7 linked regions of the Rattus norvegicus genome follow. The protein of the gene in region 1 purifies or fractionates together with the protein of each later gene. This does not show direct contact. Links are inferred from orthologs where the notes say so. Each region holds a gene or a part of one and is shown in the gene's direction. Other genes may lie near its edges. The genes, in order: Ddx39b, Rbm15, Lmna, Specc1l, Myh9, Hnrnpu and Dhx9.

What was found.
Region 2: the proteins of Ddx39b (region 1) and Rbm15 purify together in Homo sapiens (affinity purification with mass spectrometry; 3 studies listed by BioGRID and IntAct, with this or other methods). This does not show direct contact. The link is inferred for Rattus norvegicus from reciprocal best matches to the Homo sapiens genes DDX39B and RBM15.
Region 3: the proteins of Ddx39b (region 1) and Lmna purify together in Homo sapiens (affinity purification with mass spectrometry, with the first as the bait; 4 studies listed by BioGRID). This does not show direct contact. The link is inferred for Rattus norvegicus from reciprocal best matches to the Homo sapiens genes DDX39B and LMNA.
Region 4: the proteins of Ddx39b (region 1) and Specc1l purify together in Homo sapiens (affinity purification with mass spectrometry, with the first as the bait; 3 studies listed by BioGRID). This does not show direct contact. The link is inferred for Rattus norvegicus from reciprocal best matches to the Homo sapiens genes DDX39B and SPECC1L.
Region 5: the proteins of Ddx39b (region 1) and Myh9 purify together in Homo sapiens (affinity purification with mass spectrometry, with the first as the bait; 4 studies listed by BioGRID). This does not show direct contact. The link is inferred for Rattus norvegicus from reciprocal best matches to the Homo sapiens genes DDX39B and MYH9.
Region 6: the proteins of Ddx39b (region 1) and Hnrnpu purify together in Homo sapiens (affinity purification with mass spectrometry, with the first as the bait; 3 studies listed by BioGRID). This does not show direct contact. The link is inferred for Rattus norvegicus from reciprocal best matches to the Homo sapiens genes DDX39B and HNRNPU.
Region 7: the proteins of Ddx39b (region 1) and Dhx9 purify together in Homo sapiens (affinity purification with mass spectrometry, with the first as the bait; 3 studies listed by BioGRID). This does not show direct contact. The link is inferred for Rattus norvegicus from reciprocal best matches to the Homo sapiens genes DDX39B and DHX9.

What each region holds. Positions count from the first base shown.
Region 1 is NC_086038.1:3,576,701-3,579,651, reverse strand, and holds the end of Ddx39b (spliceosome RNA helicase Ddx39b), read left to right. Parts: intron 1-221; coding exon 222-353; intron 354-1,509; coding exon 1,510-1,619; intron 1,620-1,721; coding exon 1,722-1,866; intron 1,867-1,969; coding exon 1,970-2,117; intron 2,118-2,225; coding exon 2,226-2,242; 3' UTR 2,243-2,451; downstream 2,452-2,951. UniProt on the Homo sapiens protein: Involved in nuclear export of spliced and unspliced mRNA. Component of the TREX complex which is thought to couple mRNA transcription, processing and nuclear export, and specifically associates with spliced mRNA and not with unspliced pre-mRNA.
Region 2 is NC_086020.1:197,639,898-197,644,094, reverse strand, and holds the start of Rbm15 (RNA-binding protein 15), read left to right. Parts: upstream 1-1,397; 5' UTR 1,398-2,265; coding exon 2,266-4,197. UniProt on the Homo sapiens protein: RNA-binding protein that acts as a key regulator of N6-methyladenosine (m6A) methylation of RNAs, thereby regulating different processes, such as hematopoietic cell homeostasis, alternative splicing of mRNAs and X chromosome inactivation mediated by Xist RNA.
Region 3 is NC_086020.1:176,255,436-176,259,467, reverse strand, and holds the start of Lmna (prelamin-A/C), read left to right. Parts: upstream 1-1,232; 5' UTR 1,233-1,435; coding exon 1,436-1,791; intron 1,792-4,032.
Region 4 is NC_086038.1:13,394,571-13,398,070, reverse strand, and holds part of Specc1l (cytospin-A), read left to right. Parts: intron 1-521; coding exon 522-595; intron 596-1,620; coding exon 1,621-1,796; intron 1,797-3,500. UniProt on the Homo sapiens protein: Involved in cytokinesis and spindle organization. May play a role in actin cytoskeleton organization and microtubule stabilization and hence required for proper cell adhesion and migration.
Region 5 is NC_086025.1:111,238,964-111,242,463, reverse strand, and holds part of Myh9 (myosin-9), read left to right. Parts: intron 1-1,122; coding exon 1,123-1,283; intron 1,284-1,978; coding exon 1,979-2,087; intron 2,088-3,014; coding exon 3,015-3,146; intron 3,147-3,500. UniProt on the Homo sapiens protein: Cellular myosin that appears to play a role in cytokinesis, cell shape, and specialized functions such as secretion and capping. Required for cortical actin clearance prior to oocyte exocytosis. Promotes cell motility in conjunction with S100A4.
Region 6 is NC_086031.1:92,609,291-92,612,435, reverse strand, and holds the end of Hnrnpu (heterogeneous nuclear ribonucleoprotein U), read left to right. Parts: coding exon 1-125; intron 126-392; coding exon 393-647; intron 648-881; coding exon 882-1,063; intron 1,064-1,287; coding exon 1,288-1,359; intron 1,360-1,808; coding exon 1,809-1,862; 3' UTR 1,863-2,645; downstream 2,646-3,145. UniProt on the Homo sapiens protein: DNA- and RNA-binding protein involved in several cellular processes such as nuclear chromatin organization, telomere-length regulation, transcription, mRNA alternative splicing and stability, Xist-mediated transcriptional silencing and mitotic cell progression.
Region 7 is NC_086031.1:68,152,313-68,155,429, reverse strand, and holds the end of Dhx9 (ATP-dependent RNA helicase A), read left to right. Parts: intron 1-130; coding exon 131-331; intron 332-1,610; coding exon 1,611-2,319; 3' UTR 2,320-2,617; downstream 2,618-3,117. UniProt on the Homo sapiens protein: Multifunctional ATP-dependent nucleic acid helicase that unwinds DNA and RNA in a 3' to 5' direction and that plays important roles in many processes, such as DNA replication, transcriptional activation, post-transcriptional RNA regulation, mRNA translation and RNA-mediated gene silencing.

The sequences.
Region 1 (2,951 bases):
TTAAGTTGATTGGGCTTAAAATTCAGCTGATGTGGATGCTACCAGATCTAGCTGGAAAGAGACCTCAGCACAGAGTGTTCTTTGTGGTGGGGAGGGGTTTTCAGTCTTCTCTCTCCTCCCCATCTTTCTATGGGGTGTATTGGAGATCAGCGTCCTCCACCCCCCCAGGTTTAACCCCCCCACTCTGCCCTCCTCCTGCCCCCACCCCTCCTCCCCCTCAGCCTATGGAGATCTTCGTGGATGACGAGACCAAGTTGACGCTGCACGGGTTGCAGCAATACTACGTGAAACTGAAGGACAACGAGAAGAACCGGAAGCTCTTTGACCTTCTCGATGTCCTCGAGTTCAACCAGGTCAGTATCGAGGGTCTGTGGACATGAGCACTGCCCGTCTCCAGCTGTGGCAGAAGCCTGTGTAGAAGTAGCCTGTGATTGACAGGCCGTGGAGGTGAAGAGGTGGAGCGGTGGAGCAAGTCCGAATGGGAAGATGAAGTTGGGTGAGAGCTGAGGTAGAGTACTGATGGCTTCAGAAAGTGTACAAGAGATTCCCAGGTACCTGGCACTCACCTAAGAGCCTGGCAGGGCAGCCCTGTGCTGGGCTGGCCGTGTGTGTGAAGAGAATCATTTGGTTTGTTAGACTAGTTCTTAGAATGTTCTAGAGGTGGACTCACCCATGTGTGTTTTGAGGTTTCATGTCTGTGCAGCTCAGAGGCCAGGATGTTAGAAATTAAGGCCTACATGTACATGTAGTCAGGTTGAGGAGCAGAGAAAACCATTTGTGTAGAGAGATTTGAGTTGGAGTGAGGGATTTGGGGAACTCTTCTAGAAACACATGCCTTCCTTTAAACCCGGCATTCAGGGGGCAGAGGCAGGCAGCTCTTTAAGTCTACGGAGCGAGTTGGAGGACAGCCAGGACTACACAGACTACAAGTGCTGCCTTGAAAAACAAATCAAAATTCTGCCAATGTGTTAGCATACATCTTTAATCCTAAGAATTAGACAGAGATAGGTAAGTGCAGGTTTGGGGCCAGCCTGGTCTACATAATGTGTTTCAGGACAATTAGGGCTAATAGAGAAACCCTGTCTCAAACTTTCTGCTGTTCCAGAGGATGCACATTGAGTTCACAGCACCTATCCATGTAACTGGGCCCAGGTAATTCAACACACTGTCTTGAGAGTGCACTGCATACACCTGACACACATGCACAAAACCACACATGCATACATTTAAAAAACTTCAAAAGTGAGGTTTCTGGGCTGAGGAAGTGGCTCAGAAGTTACGAACACTTTTGTTCTTCCAGGGATTCCCAAGTTCAATTCTCAATACCCACGTCAGCTCCCAGTCATGTAATTACAGTTGGCGGGAGAGGGTCAGGTGTCCTCTGCCGTCTCCACAGGCACCGGGCACACAGCACAAGCATGTGTGCAGGCAAACCCCACACACCTGAACTTACAAAACCACATGGGGATTGTGGGAAGCTGGCACATACGTCACCCCTGTGCTCCTTAGGTTGTGATCTTTGTGAAGTCCGTGCAGCGCTGCATCGCCTTGGCCCAGCTTCTAGTGGAGCAGAACTTCCCAGCCATTGCTATCCACCGCGGGATGCCCCAGGAGGAGAGGTGGGTTGGAGGCGGGCAGGCGGGCACCTCCATCTGTATACTGGTGTGGGGAGGAAGCGGTGTGGAAGCGACGTCTCAAACCTCTCATTTACTCTCACAAAGGCTCTCTCGGTATCAGCAGTTCAAGGATTTTCAGCGGAGGATACTTGTGGCTACCAACCTGTTTGGCCGTGGCATGGACATTGAGCGCGTGAACATCGCTTTCAACTATGACATGCCAGAGGACTCCGACACCTACCTGCACAGGGTGAGTGCCCACCCTACCCCACTTCCTGTGTGCGCACGCTGTGCCCCTTCCTCTCCCCTCTGTCTCCCCTATGAGGCTTGCAGTTTTCCACCTCTCCTTCCAGGTGGCCAGAGCGGGCCGGTTTGGCACCAAGGGCTTGGCCATCACATTTGTGTCAGACGAGAACGATGCCAAGATCCTGAATGACGTGCAGGACCGTTTCGAGGTCAACATCAGTGAGCTGCCCGATGAGATCGACATTTCCTCCTACAGTGAGTGCCGGCTTGGTGGGTGGGTGTGTGTGTGTGTGTGTGTGTGTGTGTGTGTGTGTGTGTGTGTTCCCATTGTGTGCCTTGTTGTAACTGACTTTCTTTCTTCAGTTGAACAGACACGGTAGAGGAATCACCTATTCTGGACCGTGGCAGTCTGTTGTAGAAGAGGACGAAGGGGTCAGGGAGGAAACACTACTGCCCCACCCCTGACACCTCAGCCCACCCTCTCCATGCCTCTCTGCGTCACCACCACTCCTAAACCTAGTCCTGATTTATCAGAGTTGTTTGTTTGTTTGTTTGTTTTTGTTTTTTAACAAAACTAAGAATGAAACAACTGTCTGTGGTGTCTGTAAGTGCTCTGTTTGGGTGGAACTTGAGCCAGGGTCACTCTGACTCTGAGAGCCCTGTTGTGGGGCAGGGTCATAGCAAGGTAAGGCCCAAACGTGAGAGGCTGTGGCTCCCCAGCTGCCTTCTCTTCTGTTTTCACTCACTTTCTAAAGTGGCTGTGGGTGGTGAAGTTGGGGGACTGCTGGGGATCGGGAGGTAAAGAGCAAGCCCCACATCCTCAGGCCTCATCTCCCCCCACCGGGTTCCTAGTATGAGGACCTGAACAATGGTGTGTGTGAACACAGGCACACACGCACACACCAGCAAGGCTGTGTAAAGAGTCTGCAGTCCCTTGGTGGGATCAGAGAGTGTCAGCCAGGGCAGGCCCGGGGTCCTTGGGAAGCTTGGGAAGCCCTGGTAGAGGTCTGGCTTATCTCCCCTTTCTCACTTGCTCTGAAGTTCAGAAGGTCATAGGTGAAGCCCAGGTAGCCCAGGTCTTACTCAGAC
Region 2 (4,197 bases), on another chromosome or scaffold:
AAGAATATTTTTCCACTAAGAATTGAACCTAGAGCTTCACTTAGGTGCCCAAGGTTCCTGAACTGTGTCTCCAGACTTCTTTTGTGTGGGGTTGGTTTTAAGACAGAATCTCACCAACTTATCAAGTTACTCAGGCTAATGAAGAATTTATGATCCTTACCCTCAAGAGTAGCTGGGATATAGGTGCTCCAAAAGCCACACAACAGCAACTTTTAATACAAGTATGTCTATGCTTTATAGTATTTTGGGGTTTATAATTTACCTATCAGGCTTCTTTCAAATCTTTTTGATGTAATCAAGAGATTTTGGACCAAGTATTCACCAATTTCAAGATTATATACTAACAAAACAAATCGGCTGAAATAGGGCTAATCAGGTTGCTGTATCTAGTCTTCAAATAGCTTTTAAATTTAGAATTAAGGGTTTTTTTTGGGGGGGGCATTCTTATCACCTTGTAAAATGTCCTGTTTTAAAACACATTCTCAACTCAGTCTTAAAAGATGGGAATACCAGAATCTTTCTAATGTCTTCAAGGTACATATTTGGGGAGACTGCAAAAAAGCCTATTTCGCGGTTGGGGATTTAGCTCAGTGGTAGAGCGCTTGCCTAGCATGCGCCAGGCCCTGGGTTCGGTCCCCAGCTCCGAAAAAAGAAAAAAAAAAAAAAAAAAAAGCCTATTTCCCCTCACCAGGAGGTAAGCACCAGTGGTATAGACTATCCATCTTTTTTTTTTTTTTTTCTTTTTTTCGGAGCTGGGGACCGAACTCAGGGCCTGGCGCTTGCTAGGCAAGCGCTCTACCACTGAGCTAAATCCCCAACCCCTACCCATCTAATCTTATGATCACCAGTATTACACAAGCTTACGAGACTCCTTACAGATGCATGGGGTCACCGAAGTTGGTGGCGGGGAGACGTTTAGATTTGAATCAGGGTTAAAGGAGTCAAAGGAGGGGGATCTAGGAGGGGACAAGGTGGCCATGTTACTGGATCCTAATATGGATTAATCGGAGTGCTGAGGTCCAAGAAACGAGATAAATGTAGTACCCGCACAGTGAGAAGCGTTACATATTAAAGCTAAGCACAGCTACCTTTCACAAATCTTTTATGAATGCAAATCCTACACATTTTCACAACATAAATCAGGAAGCAAAAAAGGCCTGCAAGTGGTCCTGCAGGTCAGACCAGTCGGTAGGCCCGGAAGCCCGGAGTGTAGGTCACTGCCGGGCCCAAGGCGGCCAGGGCTGCGCTCTGTTTCCTATGTCCGCGGGCGGGCTGTGACTCGGTACCGCCCAGGGCGTCAGCGTGACCCGAGGCTCAGTGAACCCTGAACTCACCGCCCCAGCCAGCCGCACAGACCGGGGCAGGCGCTTTCTCGCGCACGGGGGTGGGGCTTTTTCAGGCTGCTAACTAAGATGGTGTCGGCTGGACTTCCCGGGACAGCTGCCTAAGCGGATCGAGGGCCAGCAGCCGGAAGGACCACCGAGCCCATTGTCCCGCCCAGACAGGACAGTGCGGAGCCCGCAAGTTCCAGACTCGAAGGACCGAAGCACAGGCAAGTACGCCGTAGGACCTAACAAATGTTTAAGAGAACGCCGAAAGCGCGGGGAGGCGGGCCTGACTCACTGTCACCGTCTCGCGACAGCTAAGTGACGTCGCACAGCAAGCGCGTGGTAGAGTCTTTCACCTTCAGACTCCTCAGTTTATGGGCCTACTCCTTTAAGTGAGTGATGGACAGCGCTTTTATCCAATCATTTTCCTCGTCAACATCCAATCAGATTTAAACTTTATTCAGCCGCCGGAGAAGTTGGAAGACTGGGGTTGAAAGAGAGCGAGCGAGTGAGCGAGCGAGCTCTTTGTCTCTCGCGAGATCCGAGAGAGCCAAGTTCTCAGGGAAAAACGCCTGAACTGATGTCCAGACTTCCCAAGTAGTGATTTAAAGGACGTGGCCATAAACCAATGAAAGGGAAGAGAAGGTGGGATCGCTGCTTTCGCCGTGCTAGAAGTACCGTTACAGGGCAGACTTTTTGTCCAATCAACGCTTCTAGGCTTTGGGTCAGGTGACCATGAAGTGCGAGGGGCGGAGCTACAGCCTGGCGCGAGGAACCGTTAAGATAGACAACGAATATAACCAATGAGGTACTGCGATTAGGGCGTTGGGAACCCAATAACAGCGTCGGGGCGGGCGCCTTCCCGGAGCGCGGGGAGATGTAAAGACGGACAAATAGTTTTTCCAATGAGAAAGCTGAAGAGTGAATTAATTGACCAATGAGGTCTGCGGGGCGGGAGCCTTTGCCGCGGCGGAGTCCAAGATGGCGGCGTGCGAGTCCGCTGTGTGAAACGAGCGCGGGGTGGCGGGTTAGTCAGCTCCGCAGAGACGACCTCCGGCGACCCTCAACAATGAAAGGAAAGGAGCGCTCGCCAGTCAAGCCCAAACGCTCCCGTGGCGGTGAGGACTCCAGTTCTCGTGGGGAACGGAGCAAGAAGTTAGGGGGCTCTGGCGGCAGCAATGGGAGCAGCAGCGGGAAGACGGACAGCGGCGGGTCGCGGCGGAGCCTTCATCTGGACAAGTCCAGCAGCCGAGGCGGCAGCCGCGAGTATGATACCGGTGGGGGCAGCTCCAGTAGCCGCTTGCATAGTTACAGCTCCCCAAGCACCAAAAATTCCTCAGGCGGGGGCGAGTCGCGCAGCAGCTCCCGGGGTGGAGGCGGGGAGTCACGTTCCTCTGGGGCCGCCTCCTCAGCGCCTGGCGGCGGGGACGGCGTGGAGTACAAGACCCTGAAGATAAGCGAATTGGGGTCCCAGCTGAGTGACGAAGCGGTGGAGGACGGACTGTTTCACGAGTTCAAACGCTTCGGTGATGTAAGTGTCAAAATCAGTCATCTCTCAGGTTCTGGCAGCGGGGATGAGCGGGTAGCCTTTGTGAACTTCCGGAGGCCAGAGGACGCGAGGGCGGCCAAGCATGCCAGAGGCCGCCTGGTGCTCTATGACCGGCCTCTGAAGATAGAAGCCGTGTATGTGAGCCGGCGCCGCAGCCGCTCCCCGTTAGACAAAGATACTTACGCCCCGTCGTCCAGCGTGGTCGGAAGCTCTGTAGGTAGCCACAGGCACGCCCCTGGAGGAGGTGGAGGTCAGAGATCGCTTTCTCCTGGCGGTGCTGCTTTGGGATACAGAGACTACCGGTTGCAGCAGTTGGCTCTTGGCCGCCTGCCTCCTCCACCCCCGCCACCATTGCCCCGAGAGCTGGAAAGAGAACGAGACTATCCGTTCTATGACAGAGTGCGGCCAGCATATAGTCTTGAGCCGAGGGTGGGAGCTGGAGCAGGTGCTGCTCCATTCCGAGAAGTGGATGAGATATCACCTGAGGATGATCAGCGTGCCAACCGGACACTTTTCTTGGGCAACTTAGATATCACTGTGACAGAAAATGATCTGAGAAGGGCTTTTGATCGTTTTGGAGTCATCACAGAAGTGGACATTAAGAGGCCTTCTCGTGGCCAGACCAGTACTTACGGCTTTCTCAAATTTGAGAACCTAGACATGTCTCACAGGGCCAAAATAGCAATGTCTGGCAAAATTATAATTCGGAATCCAATCAAGATTGGTTATGGGAAAGCCACACCCACTACCCGACTTTGGGTGGGTGGTCTGGGACCTTGGGTGCCTCTTGCTGCCCTGGCACGAGAATTTGATCGATTTGGCACCATTCGAACCATAGACTACCGAAAAGGTGACAGTTGGGCATATATACAGTATGAAAGCTTGGATGCAGCTCATGCTGCCTGGACCCATATGCGTGGATTCCCACTTGGTGGCCCAGATCGTCGCCTTAGGGTAGACTTTGCAGACACAGAACATCGTTACCAGCAGCAGTATCTTCAGCCTCTGCCCTTAACCCATTATGAACTAGTGACAGATACTTTTGGACATCGAGCACCTGACCCTTTGAGGAGTGCTCGGGACCGGACACCACCCTTACTATACAGAGATCGTGATAGGGACCTTTATCCCGATTCTGATTGGGTGCCACCCCCGCCACCGGTTCGGGAACGCAGTGCTCGGGCTGCAACTAGTGCCGTCACTGCTTATGAGCCACTGGATAGCTTGGATCGAAGGAGGGATGGCTGGTCACTGGACAGGGACAGAGGTGACCGGGATTTGCCTAGCAGCAGGGACCAGCCAAGGAAGCGAAGGCTGCCT
Region 3 (4,032 bases), on another chromosome or scaffold:
CTCCATGGAATGAGCAGGGAAGGCTCCATTGCAGGAGGGGATGATGGGGCCAGTGCAGCTTAGGCTAGGGTTACAGGAGAGGACTAGACAGCTGACCAAGAGTCTTTGATGGAGGCTGAAGAACCTGGGACCAGGGTTACTGTATTGGGAGATAGTCTAGTCAGGGCCCACTCATAACTGGCTAGAAAGGCATGCAGTGGCTGAGGAGGGGTGGCTTTGCTCTTCGTGCTCCCACTGTTAGGAATGGAACCCAGATGGAGACCCTGCATTAATAACCCTCCGACCCCATTCCTCTTTTCAGGCCCTTCTTGCAGTCACAAAAATCTGGAACCTGGTGTCCTAGCCATGTGTTGAATGCACGCACAGCTCTGGTATCTGTTTTAAATTATCCATTAAAATAAGTACAGTCCTGGAAAAAAATAAGTACAGTCTTGGACTTGGCTGGGTGGAGTAAACTGAAGAAAGGGGCTGAAAGGGAGGGATTATAACAGCCATTTCCAACTGTCTGGGTCCAAATGAAAGGGGAGGGGGGATTGGGAGGGGCCAGCTTCTGGCTTCTATTCTTGGCTTTCTCTTGGGGACTGAGGCTTATTCCTTAGATCTAAAACCCAATGTTTGGTTTTAAAGCCAGAAATATAAGGGAAGTGCATAGGTTTAAAAAAAAAAAAAAAAAGGCCCTTGATCTTTGCCCCAAACTTGAGGGCATAAAGTAATATGTTAGTTACCTAAAAACCCAGACGTTCCTTTGCCATCCCACTCCTGGCATACTGAAATGCAGCCCTGGATAGGCCGCTCCTGTGCGTGGGGGAGAGGTGACTCACTGTTACTACTGAGGAAAGGGGAGCCAGTGGTGGAAGTGGGTGAGTCACTGATGGGCAGCAGCCTCAGCCCTCCCCCAGCTTCCTTGGCTCCCTGGGGATGCCTAGCTCTCTCCCTCACTTTGCACCTACTTCCCCTGGTCCCTCGCCACTACCCTTCGCCCACCCACTCTCATTCCTTTACTCTGCCCTTTACCCCAGAAGGCCAAAGCTTGGAGTTGAGTAGGCAGGAACCAACATTGTGAAGCCCCAGGCCAGAAAGGGGTGTTCTGCAGACTGAGGGTTAGCATGCTGGCTCCTCCTCACCATACCTGCCTCCGCCCCTTTGGGTCTAGGATGGCTCCTTTAAGAGCAGTGGATCCACCCCCTGTGGAGGAGGGCCTATTAGAGTCTCTGCCCGGCTGTCAGTGACTCAGTGTTCGCGGGAACGCTGCCTCAGCCTCAACACCAGCCAACCCAGATCCCGAGGTGCGCCAGCGCCCAGCCCAGATCTCCACGCCTGCCAGGAGCGAGCTTCGCCGGCTCGCTGTCCCCCGAGCAGCCTCTGTCCTTCTGTCCGAGTCCCGCGCCCTTCTCGGGACCCCTGCCCAGCGGGCAGCACTGCCACCCTGCCGGCCATGGAGACCCCGTCTCAGCGGCGCGCCACCCGCAGTGGGGCGCAGGCCAGCTCTACCCCGCTGTCGCCCACTCGGATCACACGGCTGCAGGAGAAGGAGGACCTGCAGGAGCTCAATGACCGTCTGGCCGTGTACATCGATCGCGTGCGCTCCCTGGAGACGGAGAACGCGGGGCTGCGCCTTCGCATCACTGAGTCTGAAGAGGTGGTCAGCCGAGAGGTGTCCGGCATCAAGGCGGCCTACGAGGCCGAGCTGGGGGATGCCCGCAAGACCCTCGACTCTGTGGCCAAGGAGCGCGCCCGCCTCCAGTTGGAGCTGAGCAAAGTGCGTGAGGAGTTCAAGGAGCTGAAGGCGCGGTGAGTGAGGCCTGGCCGGCCAGCACCAGGGAAGCAGCAGTCTTCCATAACTGGCCATCTAGTCCCCTCCCTCCCCGGAACTGCCTCCCGCGGGTGACTGGCAGTGCCAAGGGTAATAGTCATGACAGGACACAGCAGGGAGAGGGTCTCTGTGAGAGGGTGGGGGGATATAAAGAATGGTGGGGCATGGAGACCAAGTAGCCTTGGTTACAGGGCCTCACTCTGTCAAGGTGGGATCTTATAGCCATTTGGAGCCTGGGGGATGGGCTGGAGGAAGGCAGAACAGGCTTTACCAGGTCTTGGAACTCCCGAATGAGGCCCGGAACACAGCAGAATGGGTGAAAGGGTTTTATTAGAACTTTCTTGGTGGATTTGGCACTCTGCCAATTTTGCCCAACGTGACTCTGAACACATGATGTCCACTAAAACATATCTCTCACACAGACATTTGTCCGGTGGTATTGTAGAGGGGTCACCAAGGCTGCGTAGCCCCTTTCTCCCATGGCTGTGTACGCAAGGCCTTCTCCTGGTTCTAGGAGCTGGGAATGTCTGGGACCTTTCCTAGACTCTGCCCTCCAGAAGCACAGGAGGAAGCTCCCCCGCAGATCCCACAGCCCTTGGCCTGCCTCGACTAGGAATGCAAGAGAGTGTGGGGAGGGAAACTGGGCACAGAAGCTAATGGCCCTGGAAAATCTGTTATGCCTGGGTCTGGGGCTCCCCAACCCTGGCCCTCTCTGTTTGGTGACTTAAAGGTTTGGAAGCTCTGTCCTTTCCTCCCTCAGCCAATAAGCCACTTCCGGTTTCCTAGCCAAGCCAGACTTTACTCTGGCCCATCCTCCAAGCTGTTGATGTCTTGATCTTATTAAACTGCTGGAATACAATGACATTTTTGAAATCCAGCCGTTAGAGAGCTTCAGGCCACTCCCACCTCACCCATCCCTGCCCCACCCTGCCCCACCCTACTCGACTCCACCTTCTTTCTAAAAGGACTTTCCAAAGCCTGGGAGTGTGGGCCCTGGCTCCCGGGACTCCCACAGGCTCTGTGTCTGGGATCTTTTCTTCTATGCTGTAGACCAAGCCAAAGAGCGTTGGCCATGCGTGCAGATACCTAAGGCTCTGGTAGCTTAGACTTCTCTTCCTCTTTTTCCTTTTGCATTATCTTCTGACAGAGCCCACTGACTATCAGTGGTTGGTCATTCTGTTCCTTACCAGATCCCAGCCATAGGTGGTGGCAAGCTCATTTTCTCAAGTATGAGCGGAGGTCATGTGCACAGATGGGTCCAGCCTTTCTCTCAGCTAATAGGAATTACCTGTCTTTTCTCTATTAGGGATATGAATACCTTATCAAGAAATACATGAGGCAAGTTAGAGGAGTCCCAGTGAGTTAACTAGTTAGTTAAGCTATAGTTAAACTAGTTTAAGTCAACCACCAAAGCTCTTGCAGATCCTGGTGCAGAACTTGTCTAGTAGATCTGGGGACAGGGGGAGTGGAAGATAGAGCTTTTGTTCATCTAGCTGAGCCACTCTGTGTCTTCTGCCCCCAGTGCAGCTGTCCAGGCCTGGGACACCAGGTGGTGTGTACACACATGGGGTAGGGGCCGGGCGATGTGTGGACTTTTTATATTTAGCCACCTGCCTCTATTCTCAACTGAGCCTACCCGAGGAGGCTGGGCTTCCAGGAAGGGGGTTGGGGTGAGTATACACACCTAGGTCCTTGCTGGTGGGGTGAAGTGGAGGCGAAGTGAGCTTAGATGGATGTCTGTCCTTCTATGTCCATTGCAGAAGACTCATGGCTCTGCCCTTTGTATGGCTGGTGAGCTCAGACTGAGGTGGAGAAATGGCCTGAGTGAAGTTTGGGGAGGATGAAAGGCATTGTCCGGGCCCTCCCACCAGGGCTGGGGGTGGGGAAAAGTGACCAATTTAATGTTTAATTCCAGCTCAGAGTTCAGGGTCAGGCTTGGAGTTAGGCATAACTATGAGACCGGTGACAATCTTTAGCACAGTTCAACTTGGATCTCTCAACTGCACCCACAAGGCTCTTCAAACTGGGTTGTAAGTTCCAAGGAGGAGGCAGGGGAGAGGGGGAACAAAACAACTCTCTCCTTCCCTCTTCCTCCCTCTCCTCCAGAGGTTTAGATATCTAAGCTGGGAGAAGGGGACAGTTGGAAGTGAGGGAAGGCTCACCCCAGGCTTATGGGTAAGCTCAAGTCCAAGCTAGACAGCTGCATGGATGACTCAGAC
Region 4 (3,500 bases), about 9.8 Mb from region 1:
TGACACGTGGTGCACGCCCGAGGCATTTCCCTGTGTGAGCTTCCTTACAAGCAGAGAATGTGATTTCCTATTGTATTTAGTGCTACTATTCCATAAATTAATTGGCAGCTCTCTGGATACTACAATTTTAGAAATAATTCGACTGATTTCATGTTTCTGGAATTTATTCCAGTGTGACAAGGGAATATGCTTTGCATGGCTTGGAGAGATAACTTCTGTGATTAGAAGCTGACATTTTAATAGCAGTCAATGCTGTTTTGATTGGCCTTGTGCCAATAATCTGTATGTTTCTAACAATTGCTTCCAGCTTGCTTAGGAAGTGATGCAGAAACTATAGCCTTGGATTGAATATTCTTTCATGCTTTTAAGTTTTGTGATGAAAGTAAACAAGCCTTGGCACAGGAAAACTATTTAGATGATCGTATTTTTAACACCTCTTTTTATGTCATTTCTTTTGAACATTTAAGATCATAAGGACTTTAAGTTTAAGAAGCCATATTTAATCTTTGTGGTTTTTTCAGATACAGTTAAAAAACTCCAAGACCAAAAGCATGACTTGGAAAGAGAAAACAAGACCCTTCACAGGAGACTTCGGGTAGGGTAAATCTTCATGTGCTGCCTCACTAGAAAACGTGACTCTCTGACGTGCACTGTACCTTAACCTGTAGATGTGGTGGGATGTTGCCCACACTGGGATTTGGGCTGAAAGCAAGTGCCCGTACTTTAAATTGGATCTGGCACTGCATTTAAGGTAGGAGAATATACTGGTAGTTATTTATAGATAGATGTGTTTGAAAATAGTTTATTAAGGCTTGATTTTAAAATCACAGACCAGGCTGTTTGTATGTGAGTTTTCTGTGTTCTCGGGGTTGGCTTGGCTGCCAGCCCCCATGCTGCTAAGATGTGCAGGGACAGCTAATCACAGACCCTGAGTCCTGAGCCAGTTGTTGTAGCTACTTTCATGGTACCAGAAAATTGCTTGGAGGACGAGAGGATGGCTCAGGCAAGGCCCAGCTGTGGCTCTGGGGGAAGCGAAGCCCCTGGGGAGACTTCTCCGCCCAGTCACACCCGCATCCTTCTTGTCTGGGAAGCAGCGGAGCTCTGAGTTCCTTACGTCTCCGTGTGACTGTGTCTGCCTGCGCTAAGTTCAGTTTTTCTTCTGCCTTCCTCTTCCTTTTCCTTTACTTTAGATTTTTTTTTCCTGCTAGTTTTTGATGTCAGGGTATTTATAGTTTTTACTGTATGGTTCACATACCATTTATATACCTTCCAGAGGTACAGCTCTAAATTTTTGATGATATTTATTTTCGTAACACTTGCTTTGAAACTTGCATGAGGAAGAGAGGTCTAACATTGTTCTCATTAATATTTATTGAGCACTCTGAATACTTAATGCCTCGGTAGGGGATCAGATGGCAAATCTTTCCTTCATTAGGAACGAGTTTACTGATAAGAGTTGCTTTGTTTTAAAAATAGATAACAGCAATTCTTGGAATTAAAAAAAAGTCATCATTCAAGAGTATGTCTTGTTAGGCCAAACTAATCATAAACAAACTTTACTGCTTTTAAGTAAATCCTCACCGCTTTCTTTTGGAAATGAGAGTTTACTTTCTAATGCAGGAAGAGTCCGCAGAATGGCGGCAGTTTCAGGCTGATCTCCAGACTGCGGTGGTCATTGCAAATGACATCAAGTCTGAAGCCCAAGAGGAGATCGGTGATCTAAAGCGGCGGCTACATGAGGCCCAAGAGAAAAATGAGAAACTCACCAAAGAATTGGAGGAAATAAAGTCACGCAAGTAAGTTCTGAGAAGCCAGTTGTGTTTCCGTAAGGAACAGTGATGTGGCACTGGTGCTGGTCTTTGTCCTGGTGCTCACAGTGCAGCCCTCTTATTTATCTGTAGACTGCAGGTCTGGAAGCAGACTGAATCAGCTTCAGTCTGGCCCTGCCTCTTGGTGTGTGCTCTCAGTTAACAGTTTAATTTCCCTGTGCCCTGGGCCTCAGTTCTCTGAGCTGTAACAGGAAGGCCCTGTGAGCCACTGTATAGTGCTGTGCTGAGTACGTGAGCTGCTGTTTGCAGAGGGATCAGTAAACTCGAGTTACCAATTTGGGAAAAGCAGTGACTGGGACAGTGTGAGTTTATTTCCATCAGTCACTTGAGGAATTTCTATTTTTTTTTCCAAAGTCCTCCAAAGTAGTACCCTCTACATCTAACACAGAGACCATTGGAAATCCATAAAAATGGCCACAGGAGGTGACACCTGAGATATGTTTCAAGTTCCACAGTGACACTCAGAGTGGGGTAACAAGTTTATGTGTTTGATGTTATTATTAAGAATTTGATTTTTTTTCACTTTGAATAATGTTTAATTAGGCATAGAAAAAAAAAGCAGTATATCTTTGAAAGGCTTTTATTTTGTTATGACTTAGTCCTAATGTGTTGCTAAGTGTTAGTCATTGGCATCCTTAAGCTGAACTTGGAACGGGACCTAATGAAACCCCCCTGGTATAAAGCTGGAGTTACTTTTTTATCTGTATTCATAAGTAAATACCTTGTCAGAAATACCTCATTTGATAGTTGCCCTGAGTACTGAAGTTGGTTGCGTCCGTCCATCCATCCGTCCACTCATACATCCATCCACCCACCCATCCACCCACCTATCCATCCATCCATCTATCCACTCATCCATCCACCCACCTATCCATCCATCCATCCATCCACCCACCTACCCATCCACCCACCTATCCATCCATCCATCCATCCATCTACCCACCCACCCATCCATCCATCCATCCATCCACCCATCCATCCATCCATCCATCCATCCATCCATCCATCCATCCATCCATCCATCCATCCATCTATTCATCCATCCATCCATCCATCTATTCATCCATCCATCTATTCCATCCATCCATCTGTCCGTCTGTCCATCCATCCACCTATCTATCCATCCATCCGTCCGTCCATCCATCCACCTATCTATCCATCTGTCCATCCGTCCATCCATCCGTCCGTCCGTCCGTCCGTCCGTCATGCTAGGGATGAACCTAGGGCCTTACATCTGCCAAGCCAGTGCTCTGCCCTTAAGCCCTAAAATTCTGTTCTTGAAGGATCGCTGTGTGGGATCCCAAAAGTGTACTAGTGTTTATGTTTCGAGGAGATGCCTACCAAAAGACTCAGCATCCTGGGCTCGGACGGGTGGAAGTGGTTAAGAGTATTTCCTGCTCTTCCAAAAGATCTGAGTTTAGTTCTAGCACTCTTTCGTTAGGTGGCTCAGGACCACCTGTAATCCCGTTCCAGGGAACATGTTGCTCTCTCTGGCCTCTGGGCCTCTCCCCCTCCACACACACACACACACTCTATTAAAATCGACGAGAGAGCGTCGTGCGCTGTGCTGTTGTCAGAGTGATCCTCTCCATTATGAGACCCTTCCCGGCCCCTTGCTCTTAGTTGTCACAGTACTGCTAACAGGTAGCTGACTGCGTTCACTGATGTGTG
Region 5 (3,500 bases), on another chromosome or scaffold:
GGCAGGAGACAGGCCCATACCCATTCCTACTTTCCTGACTTTCTACCAGGAGTTCTTGACAGACTGGTCTGGTCTTCCAGAATGCACATAGACTACTCATTGACAGTGCCAGTGGGAGCTTATTCTAAATCCCTCCCAGACAGTCAGACAGGCTGGCTGGCTGGCACACATATCTACTTGTGTTAGTTACTTTCTCATTGTGGGACCATGTACTTGACAAAAGGCAACTTCAGGGAAGAGAGGGATTGTTTGGACTCCCATTTCGAGGGTAGAGTCTTATCATGAGGGACATGAGGGTGTGGTGGGAAGACAGGGAGGCAGCTGCTCCCGTGGCGTCTGCATGGGCAGGAGAAATGAGTGGCACTCAACTGCCTTCTCCTTTTGCCCAGTTTATCCAGTTCAGGACTCTAGTCTATAGCATGGTGACACCTATCCCTCCTTGGGGAAACTCTGGAGACTTCCCGAGGCATGTCTCCTGACTGATTTTTAAATCCAGTCAGTTGACAGCAGAGAACACCCTGCCACTCGGGCTTTCTGAGCAAGCTGCTGCCCTGGCTGGAGTTACCCAAGTTTGTCATGATGACTAAAACTTGCTTGGAGCTCACTGGTGCTTTGGCCCTGTGCTGAGTCTTCTGACATTCTCTTGGGTAGGGCTCGTGGCCCTGCTGGGAAAGACAGTGTCATTTGCTTTGTGTCTATTTTTCTTTTTAAACTGAAGCATCACCCCCATATAGTTGAGAGACATGGCCTCAAGAGAGGAGACAAGCCAGGGTCTCCAGGTGGTGCTGGGTCCTGAAGCCCTTGAAGGCCCTTGGTACCAGTGAACTTCAGGTGGAGGCTTCCAGGTTGAGCATTTGTGGAGTATGACTCCAGGTGCAGAGGCAGGAGGTAGACGAGGTCTCTGAAGAGCCCTGTGTTTCTTTGACAGTCTGGTTTGTCACCTTGCTCTGTGTTACTCCTTCTCTTAGTGCTCCTGAACCCATGCCCTCTGGTCCTGGGGCAGAAGGCTCCTGCAGGAGGTGCAGCCCCTCCTGAACCCCTGGATGACTGGGCTGAGGCAAGTCCTGGCCTTTTCTCCCGCTGTGCAGAGTGGCACAGAGTGGTCTGCTTTGCTCTCTCTAGATCAAAGCCTTGGAGCTTGACAGCAACCTGTACCGCATCGGCCAGAGCAAAGTGTTCTTCCGGGCCGGAGTCCTAGCTCACCTGGAGGAAGAGCGGGACCTGAAGATCACTGATGTCATCATTGGCTTCCAGGCCTGCTGCAGAGGCTACCTGGCCAGGAAGTAAGTGGCAGGGACCCTTAACCCACACCTCTCACATGTTCCTGCTCTGAGGACAGTATGGTCAGCTGTGGTTGAAGGCCTCTGGGAGTTGAAGGCCTGTCTAGAGGGGTGTCTGGGAGTCAGCCAAATGAGCTTTGACTGTCCCAGGTGTCTGCTTATTTAATCCAGACTTTTCACCATGTGGGGATGGCACCAGGCCTGTCTGTGCCTGTCATACTCCATGGAGGCATCCTGAGCTCACCACGCTCAGATTCCCCTGCCGCAGCAGGCAGACATGCTCCAGGACAGTCCCAGTGTGAGCTTTGAGCCTAAAAATGAGCAAGAGCTTGTGTTGGGCGCCCACGCCTTACACCCACCTTTGTAGCACACCGGCTGCCAGTGCTGTGCACCAGCAGCAGCTCAGGCGGGGAGGCAGCAGGGCTGGATAGTCAAGCCCAAGTGCCCTGGGCACAGATGGATCATGACTAAGGTCATAAGGTCATAAGGTTGTAAGGTCACAGTTGGATCTTGCACCGAGTGGGAGTCTTGTCACTGGTTCTCGTAAGTCCTTTATGCCTGAGAGCACCTCAGTGGAGGGCAGTGGCTGAATGACCTGAGCCCTTGTCGTTCATTGTGTGTTCAGTGTTTCGTGAGTCAGGGTTGTTGGTGTGTGCTTCCCTCATCCCTGAGTTGCTGACTGAGCTCTTCATCTCCAGGGCCTTTGCCAAGAGGCAGCAGCAGCTGACTGCCATGAAGGTCCTACAGAGGAACTGTGCTGCATACCTCAGACTCCGCAACTGGCAGTGGTGGAGGCTCTTCACCAAGGTGGGCTCTCCACAGGCCGCTCAGCCTCCTCTGCTCGTGGTGCTTGCTCACATCACAAGCCTTTCCTGTAGCTCCACAGTGCTCAGTGGTGTGAGCCTAACCTGGTGCTGGGAGTGCCTGCCAGCAGCTCCGCCTGTTTGCTGTGGATGGCAGTGTCCGGGCTGGGCAAAACCAGAGCAGCTCCTGTGGGCGAGGGCTTGCCTTTCCTACACATGGGCCCTGTGGCAGAGACTAGCCTCTTGTGGTACCCCATGGCAGCTAGCTGCTGAGAACTTCTCCTGTATACCTTGTGTCTTTAAAATGCCTTTTGCAAGCTGGGCATGGTGGCATATGCCTTAATTTCAGCCCTCAGGAGGCAGAGGCAGGTGGATATCTGTGTCTACGTAGTGAATTAGGCCAGCTAGGACTACCCAGAGACCCTGTTGCAAAAAAAGTTCCTTTGCAACTTGTTCTGTCAATTTTAGTTTATAATGTATAACGTATGCTAAATGCCAAAAACATAGAAAGGTCATAGAACCTCAATCATGGGCCCTTCACTCTGAGCCAACGCCATGATGTTTCTGTATTCTCATGTGCAGTAAGTCTCAGCTATGGAAACTGCATTTTTACGTAGCCAAGCGCTGACTTGTGTACATAGTCTTGTCTTTTGCACTTTGTATTTAGAATTCCCATCAGCATCAGTTTTTAGGAGCTGTTGCCTAGAGGATGGACGGGTCATTCCTAAGTCTTGGGCCTATAGACAGTGTGTCATGGACGTCTTTATGTACATGTAACATGTTGTACAGTCTGACTTCTAGGAAGGTTGCACCTACTTGTACCCTCTCCCCAGAGAGCAGGTCTGGTTGCTGCTCACCTCTGGAGCTTACATTCCAGAGGCTTCTAGGGGTGAGCAGCTGGCCTTAACTCTGCCCCTGTCTTCTCTCCCAGGTCAAGCCCCTGCTGAACTCAATAAGGCATGAGGATGAGCTTTTAGCCAAGGAGGCGGAACTGACAAAAGTTCGAGAGAAGCATCTGGCTGCAGAGAACAGGCTGACAGAGATGGAGACTATGCAGTCTCAGGTAGGTGTCAGTCTTACCCGTCAATCCCAGCTGCTCTCAGTGCTGCCCCTATTGGACACTAGCAGGCTGGCTGGTTTTGCAGCTTAGAAAACACTTGCAGTCCAGTGGGAGAGCAGTAGTCAGCGGGGAGACTGAGCCATAATCCCACCCTGGGGCCCTGTTGCTGTGACAGTGGACCTAGGATAAGTAACTTAAGGGGGATGAAGAGATTGGGCCTGCGGTCACTGGCCCCTGTTGAGGCGGAATGCCACCACTGAGTGTGGTAGAGCAGAGCTACTCACTTCTTTGTGCCAAGGAAGCAGAGGGAAAGAAGGGTCTCTATTCCCTGCGCCATGGCCCCGCTTCTAAAGTTCT
Region 6 (3,145 bases), on another chromosome or scaffold:
TGCAGGCTTCCAACGAAAAGCCGTGGTCGTTTGCCCAAAAGACGAAGACTATAAGCAGAGGACACAGAAGAAAGCGGAAGTAGAGGGGAAAGACCTACCAGAGCATGCTGTCCTCAAGATGAAAGGCACGAGATTCATTTCATTTTTACTGTCTTTTAAGTCTGGTTTGGTGATTTATACCTAGAAAATGACTTAGCCACTTTAGGGATTATACTATACTAATCTGGTAAATTAAGCTCTGTGTATGGTTTTTTTATTCTGCAAAGAATGTGACAAAGCCATGACCAGATACTGTGATAGTGAAAAAATTCAACATATTCAGAGATAATTAAAGATTGTAAAATTTACATGTTTATAAATTTACATGTTTAATTTGACTTTATTCACTGTAGGAAACTTCACCCTTCCAGAGGTTGCAGAGTGTTTTGATGAAATAACCTATGTTGAACTTCAGAAGGAGGAAGCCCAGAAGCTTTTGGAGCAATATAAAGAAGAAAGCAAAAAGGCACTGCCACCAGAAAAAAAGCAAAACACTGGCTCAAAGAAAAGCAATAAAAATAAGAGTGGCAAGAACCAGTTCAACAGAGGTGGTGGCCATAGAGGACGTGGAGGATTCAATATGCGTGGTGGCAATTTCAGAGGGGGAGGCAAGTTTGTTTATTTTGCCTGTTGTATTTGAAATGTGAAAATGAGCTGAGTTTTTTTTTTTAAGTTAAATAGGCATAGGTGTCTTAGATAATGATGCTGCTATGTTTAATACACAGTGAAGAAGTATATTAGGTATACTTAAAACTGGGCATTGCTTTTTTTTTATTAATGGTAAGATATGACTTATGACATTAGTATGTGACAGGACTAAACTGAACCCTTCTTGCATTTAGCTCCTGGGAATCGTGGTGGATATAATAGGAGAGGCAACATGCCCCAGAGAGGTGGTGGCGGCGGAAGTGGTGGAATTGGCTATCCATACCCGCGTGGCCCTGTCTTTCCTGGCCGAGGTGGTTACTCAAACAGAGGAAATTACAACAGAGGTGGAATGCCCAACAGAGGGAACTATAACCAGGTATTGACTATAGTTTGCCCTGAAATGTAGATGAATGGATATTGGGAGTCTTAACTGGAGGTGTTGACATAGCTATGAAGCAGTTTATTGGACTTTGCTTTTCAGGTCACTAATTAGTAACATCAGTGAGCTTGGGGTAAAAGGGTTTTTCTACATGCCTTCTCTAACACAGCCAACCATTTCTTCAGAGTTCTTACAGATGCTTTGTTTTTAATTTTCCATAGAACTTCAGAGGACGAGGAAATAATCGTGGCTACAAAAATCAATCTCAGGGCTACAACCAGTGGCAGCAGGGTGTAAGTAGTTTCTTAAATGATTATACACATTATATATAGTGTTATGTTTACAAACTCAGTTGGAAGTTCTTAACCTAGGGATTGAAGATACATATTAATAGGACAAGGTTTCTATAAATTGTTACTGTGTTACTATAACCATGAATAGGCTGGATTTTAACAGTTTTTAGATAAAGTAATTTAATACATATGGTCGTTTACTACTACATGGTCATTTTTAATAGTTTTAATTACATAAACTAACCCCAAGTCTTGTGTTTCCTTTTGTAATGTGTATTGGTAAATAGTATGGGTAATTGGTAAATTAAAATTAAGTCTCTGATGTAGAAATTAAGTGTCATAAATTTGTTTCCAGCAATTACTCTGAATTAGATCATTGTCATTTCCTAAAAACAATTTGAGTGGCTTATTGATGTTTTTTTCTTTAAAAACAACATTTTCTCTTACAGCAATTCTGGGGTCAGAAGCCATGGAGTCAGCATTATCACCAAGGATATTATTGAATACCCAAATAAAACGAACTGATACATATTTCTCCAAAACCTTCACAAGAAGTCGACTGTTTTCTTTAGTAGGCTAACTTTTTAAACATTCCACAAGAGGAAGTGCCTGCGGGTTCCTTTTTTAGAAGCTTTGTGGGTTGATTTTTTTTTCTTTTCTTTTTTGTACATTTTTAATTGCAGTTTTAAAGTGAATCGTAAGAGAACCTCAGCATTGTGCACGATAAGAGAATGTGTCAGTATTTCAGGGTTCTACATTTTATCTGTAAAATGTGACTTTTTTTTTTTATCACAACAAAAGTAAAATGTTGCTTTGTACCTGGTGTCTTTTATTAAGCATTTACTCCCCCATTTCTCACAGAGAATAACAGTCGGGAGTCATTGTCACAATGAAATAGCAATGTCAGCAACCAGATTCATGGAAGGACTGAGGGTCCTCATGAATGGCATTAAGATTCTGTACTGCTCATAATACACTCCATCCTCTCTAGATGGCCGGGCAATAGTGGAGGGGTAATCTCTGACAAAAAAAAAAGGGAAGGCTATTTTTTTTCTGCTTAACAATGGAATTGGCATAATTGGGATTGAAGATAAAATTTGGAACCAAGACTGAGAAGATGGAGTGTATGTAGAAGGGCTGTTTAAAAATGTAAACTTGGTTGCATTATATGTGGAGGCTCAAACTTGTGAAGGTTAAATACCACAAAATTTTCCATTTGTTCTGCATTTTGATTCTGAAAAGAAAGCTGGCTTTGCCCATTTTCTTATTAAAAAACTTGTTGTAAATCCAGTTGTCTAATGGGATCTATATGAAGTTAGCTATGTCTGTATGCCCTTCTCCCACAAAATACTGTATTACTAGTGTGCTTGTAGTAGTTAACTCCACCATCTTTGTAAGCTAATGAAATTGTGAGTCACCCATTTATATCTTAATTTTTAATCATGTCAGTTCTTGAATGGGTATCTCCTTAGCCTGCTGATTTCTTTTTCTTTCTAAAGAAAGTGGGTGGAGAAATTAATTTAGACGTTTGTTTGCAATAAAAAGAATTCATTTTACTCTCGTTTGGGATTCTCGCCATCAAGGTCTAAATCCCTTTATACTACAACTCCCAAGAGGAGAAATTTTAAGTGTGTGCTTTCTGGACAGCTTATTCTTTACTCTGTACTTTTCGAACATTTAGGTTTTAAAAACTTAAATGTATACTGATGATTTTATAATATAAAGTTGAATTCTTCCCCTCCCCTCCCCTCCCCAGACTGCTTTTAACATTTATGAGGGGCAAAGG
Region 7 (3,117 bases), on another chromosome or scaffold:
TACATTCACCTGGGTTTGGGGCATGTCTAATTGTAATAAAGTTAAGTTTTTGGCACTGGGAGGACATTTGACTACACTCACCTCTCTGTGTATGTTTCCAGTTTTATGCCTTGCTTTTCCTTCATTTTAGGATCAGACTGCAAATATCACATGAAGCTGCAGCATGCATCACAGCCCTCCGGGCAGCCATGGAAGCTCTGGTTGTTGAAGTATCCAAACAACCAAACATTATCAGCCAGTTGGACCCTGTCAATGAGCATATGCTAAACACCATCCGTCAGATTTCTAGGCCCTCAGCTGCTGGTATCAACCTTATGATTGGGAGTGTAAGGTGAGTTACCTAATTTATGTGTCTGTAGCTTTTACAGACCTATAATTATTAAAGCTAGTTGGTAGAGTCCTTCGGGTTAAAATTATTTAACACTAAATGTGGGAGTTTGACTCAGAACAAAAGATTTCCTTTTTTCCTGTTAATTGATGTACCCATTGCCATATAAAAATAAAGTCCTGACAGGTAGACCATATTAAAAGTTGAAAATGATGTAATCTTGATGAAACCTTTTCCTCCACACTGTTGTAGTCTCAGTCTCAGATAAAGTATTAATTCCTTCCTCAAATAGAAAGATCAATTTATTTTAGACTGTCTTATTTATTTATTTTATGTACAGCATTCTGCCTGCTTATGTGACTTGCAGGTCAGAAGAGGGCACCAGATCTCATTACAGATGGTTGTGAGCCACCATGTGGTTGCTGGGATTTGAACTCAGGACCTCTGGAAGAGCAGTCAGTGCTCTTAACCGCTGAGCCATCTCTCCAGTCCCCAGCCATCTCTGTAGCCCCCTAGGCTGTCTTTAAGAAATAAGAAATTTTTCTTTAGTGTTCACCTATCTGCATTCATAAGAAAGGAATGTTAACGGTGTATGCGTATGTTCCTTCCTTATGTTTACCAGTTTTGAGTTATTTAACTTTTAATCATTCATGAAGTTATGAATACACTCATTAAGAAATCATTCTCCTAAGCATGGCTTCAGAATTTTTTTCTTCTGTAATTTTATTTAAAGATTTATTTATATGAGTATTGTAGCTCCCAGACACACTAGAAGAGGGCATCAGATCCCATTACAGATGGTTGTGAGCTACTATGTCGTTGCTGGAAATTGAACTCAGGACCTCTGGAAGATCATCAGTTCGTGCTGTTAACCACTGAGCCATCTCTCCAGCCCTATGGCTTCAGGATTATAATAATATACAAATAAACAAAAAGTCCTTTGAGTCTTTATCATGTTTTTTGCTTTTAATTTTAGTATAACTGAACTGTTGATTCACATTATTTTTGTCTTCTTTAACATGAATATCAAAGACATGAAGGTAGGGGAGTTGTGAGTGTATATATTTTCTGAGGAGTTTCCACCAAGACATTTTTTAAATTTGTACAGGGAAATACTTGATTAAAAATACTATGAATTAAGAGAAACTTCAAGGCCTGTGGAAAAATATTAACAGTGCTGTTTATACCATACAGGTCTCATTATTTGGTTAAAGTTTATTTACTGTGATTCTTAGTTTAGTGTGTGCAGAGTATAGCTAAAGTGATTTGTTGTTTTTCCTAGGTATGGCGATGGTCCGAGGCCTCCCAAGATGGCCCGATACGATAATGGAAGTGGATATAGAAGGGGATATGGAGGAGGAGGATATGGTGGTGGTGGATACGGTGGTGGATATGGTAGTGGAGGCTTTGGAGGCGGCTTTGGAAGTGGTGGTGGGGGAGGCTTTGGAGGAGGCTTTAACAGTGGTGGGGGAGGAGGCTTTGGTAGTGGTGGGGGTGGCTTTGGCAGTGGCGGAGGTGGATTTGGTGGTGGGGGAGGAGGCTTCAGTGGGGGAGGTGGTGGGGGTGGATTTGGTGGTGGCCGAGGAGGCGGCGGCGGTGGTGGCTTTGGGGGTAGTGGAGGTTTTGGAAGTGGTGGGGGAGGCTATGGTGTTGGAGGTGGTGGCTATGGAGGTGGTGGCGGTAGTGGTGGGTATGGAGGAGGCAGTGGAGGATATGGAGGTGGTGGAGGGGGTTACGGAGGTGGGGAAGGTTATAATATGAGCCCCAACTCTTACCGAGGAAATTATGGTGGAGGTGGGGGAGGTTATAGAGGAGGTTCCCAAGGAGGCTACAGAAACAACTTCGGTGGAGACTACAGAGGATCTAGTGGAGACTACCGGGGATCTGGTGGGGGCTATAGAGGATCTGGAGGATTCCAGCGAAGGGGTTATGGAGGTGGTTATTTTGGACAAGGAAGAGGAGGTGGTGGTGGTGGTGGTGGCGGCTATTAAGAATGGACTGTCAGAGCTTATGCATACAGTTAAAAAATGCATGCTGTATGTTTTTCCAAGATGTTTATTTGCACCAAAAAAGTAAACCCATTTCCCACTTAATCTGTAGTTCATGTGTAGTTTCAAATAATTGTAGATTAGTGATTTTGTTTATATTGTGTAATGTAAAATATGACCTGTTATACAAGTATCACACCATACAGTTTGTATTTTTTTCTTGAAAGGGTAAAGCCTTTTAACTTAACTTGACATTTTCTTGGTTTTCATTTAATAGAAAATAAAGTATACTGAAAATTGATTGTGTAATGGTATTTTTTACAGAATAAGAGTTGAGCCCAGGGGCTGGGGATTTAGCTCAGTGGTAGAGCGCTTACCTAGGAAGCGCAAGGCCCTGGGTTCTGTCCCCAGCTCCGAAAAAAAGAACCAAAAAAAGAGTTGAGCCCATATCCCTCCCATCTTTAATGTTAGGGTCTCGGTAAGGAACTAGCAGGTTTGCCTCACCCTCAGAAACTCACTTGCCTTCTCCCAAGTGGTAGGATTAAGGTGTGTTATAACCATTTTTCTAACTCTGAAACATTTGACCTTAGCTGAAATATTTGTTTTGAAAACAAAAGACTAAGGGAAGCATTTTCTATTACAAATTCATTTCTGTGGGTTGGGTGGGTGAGAGGGTCGGCAATATATTTTTTATTTAAGCAATGAACAAAGGTAGGTGAGCTCTATAATGTATGACTCAGTATTTGGGGAGAGAACTACTTGACCAATTCTTTACCACTAACTTGTATCCCAAAGGTGTTT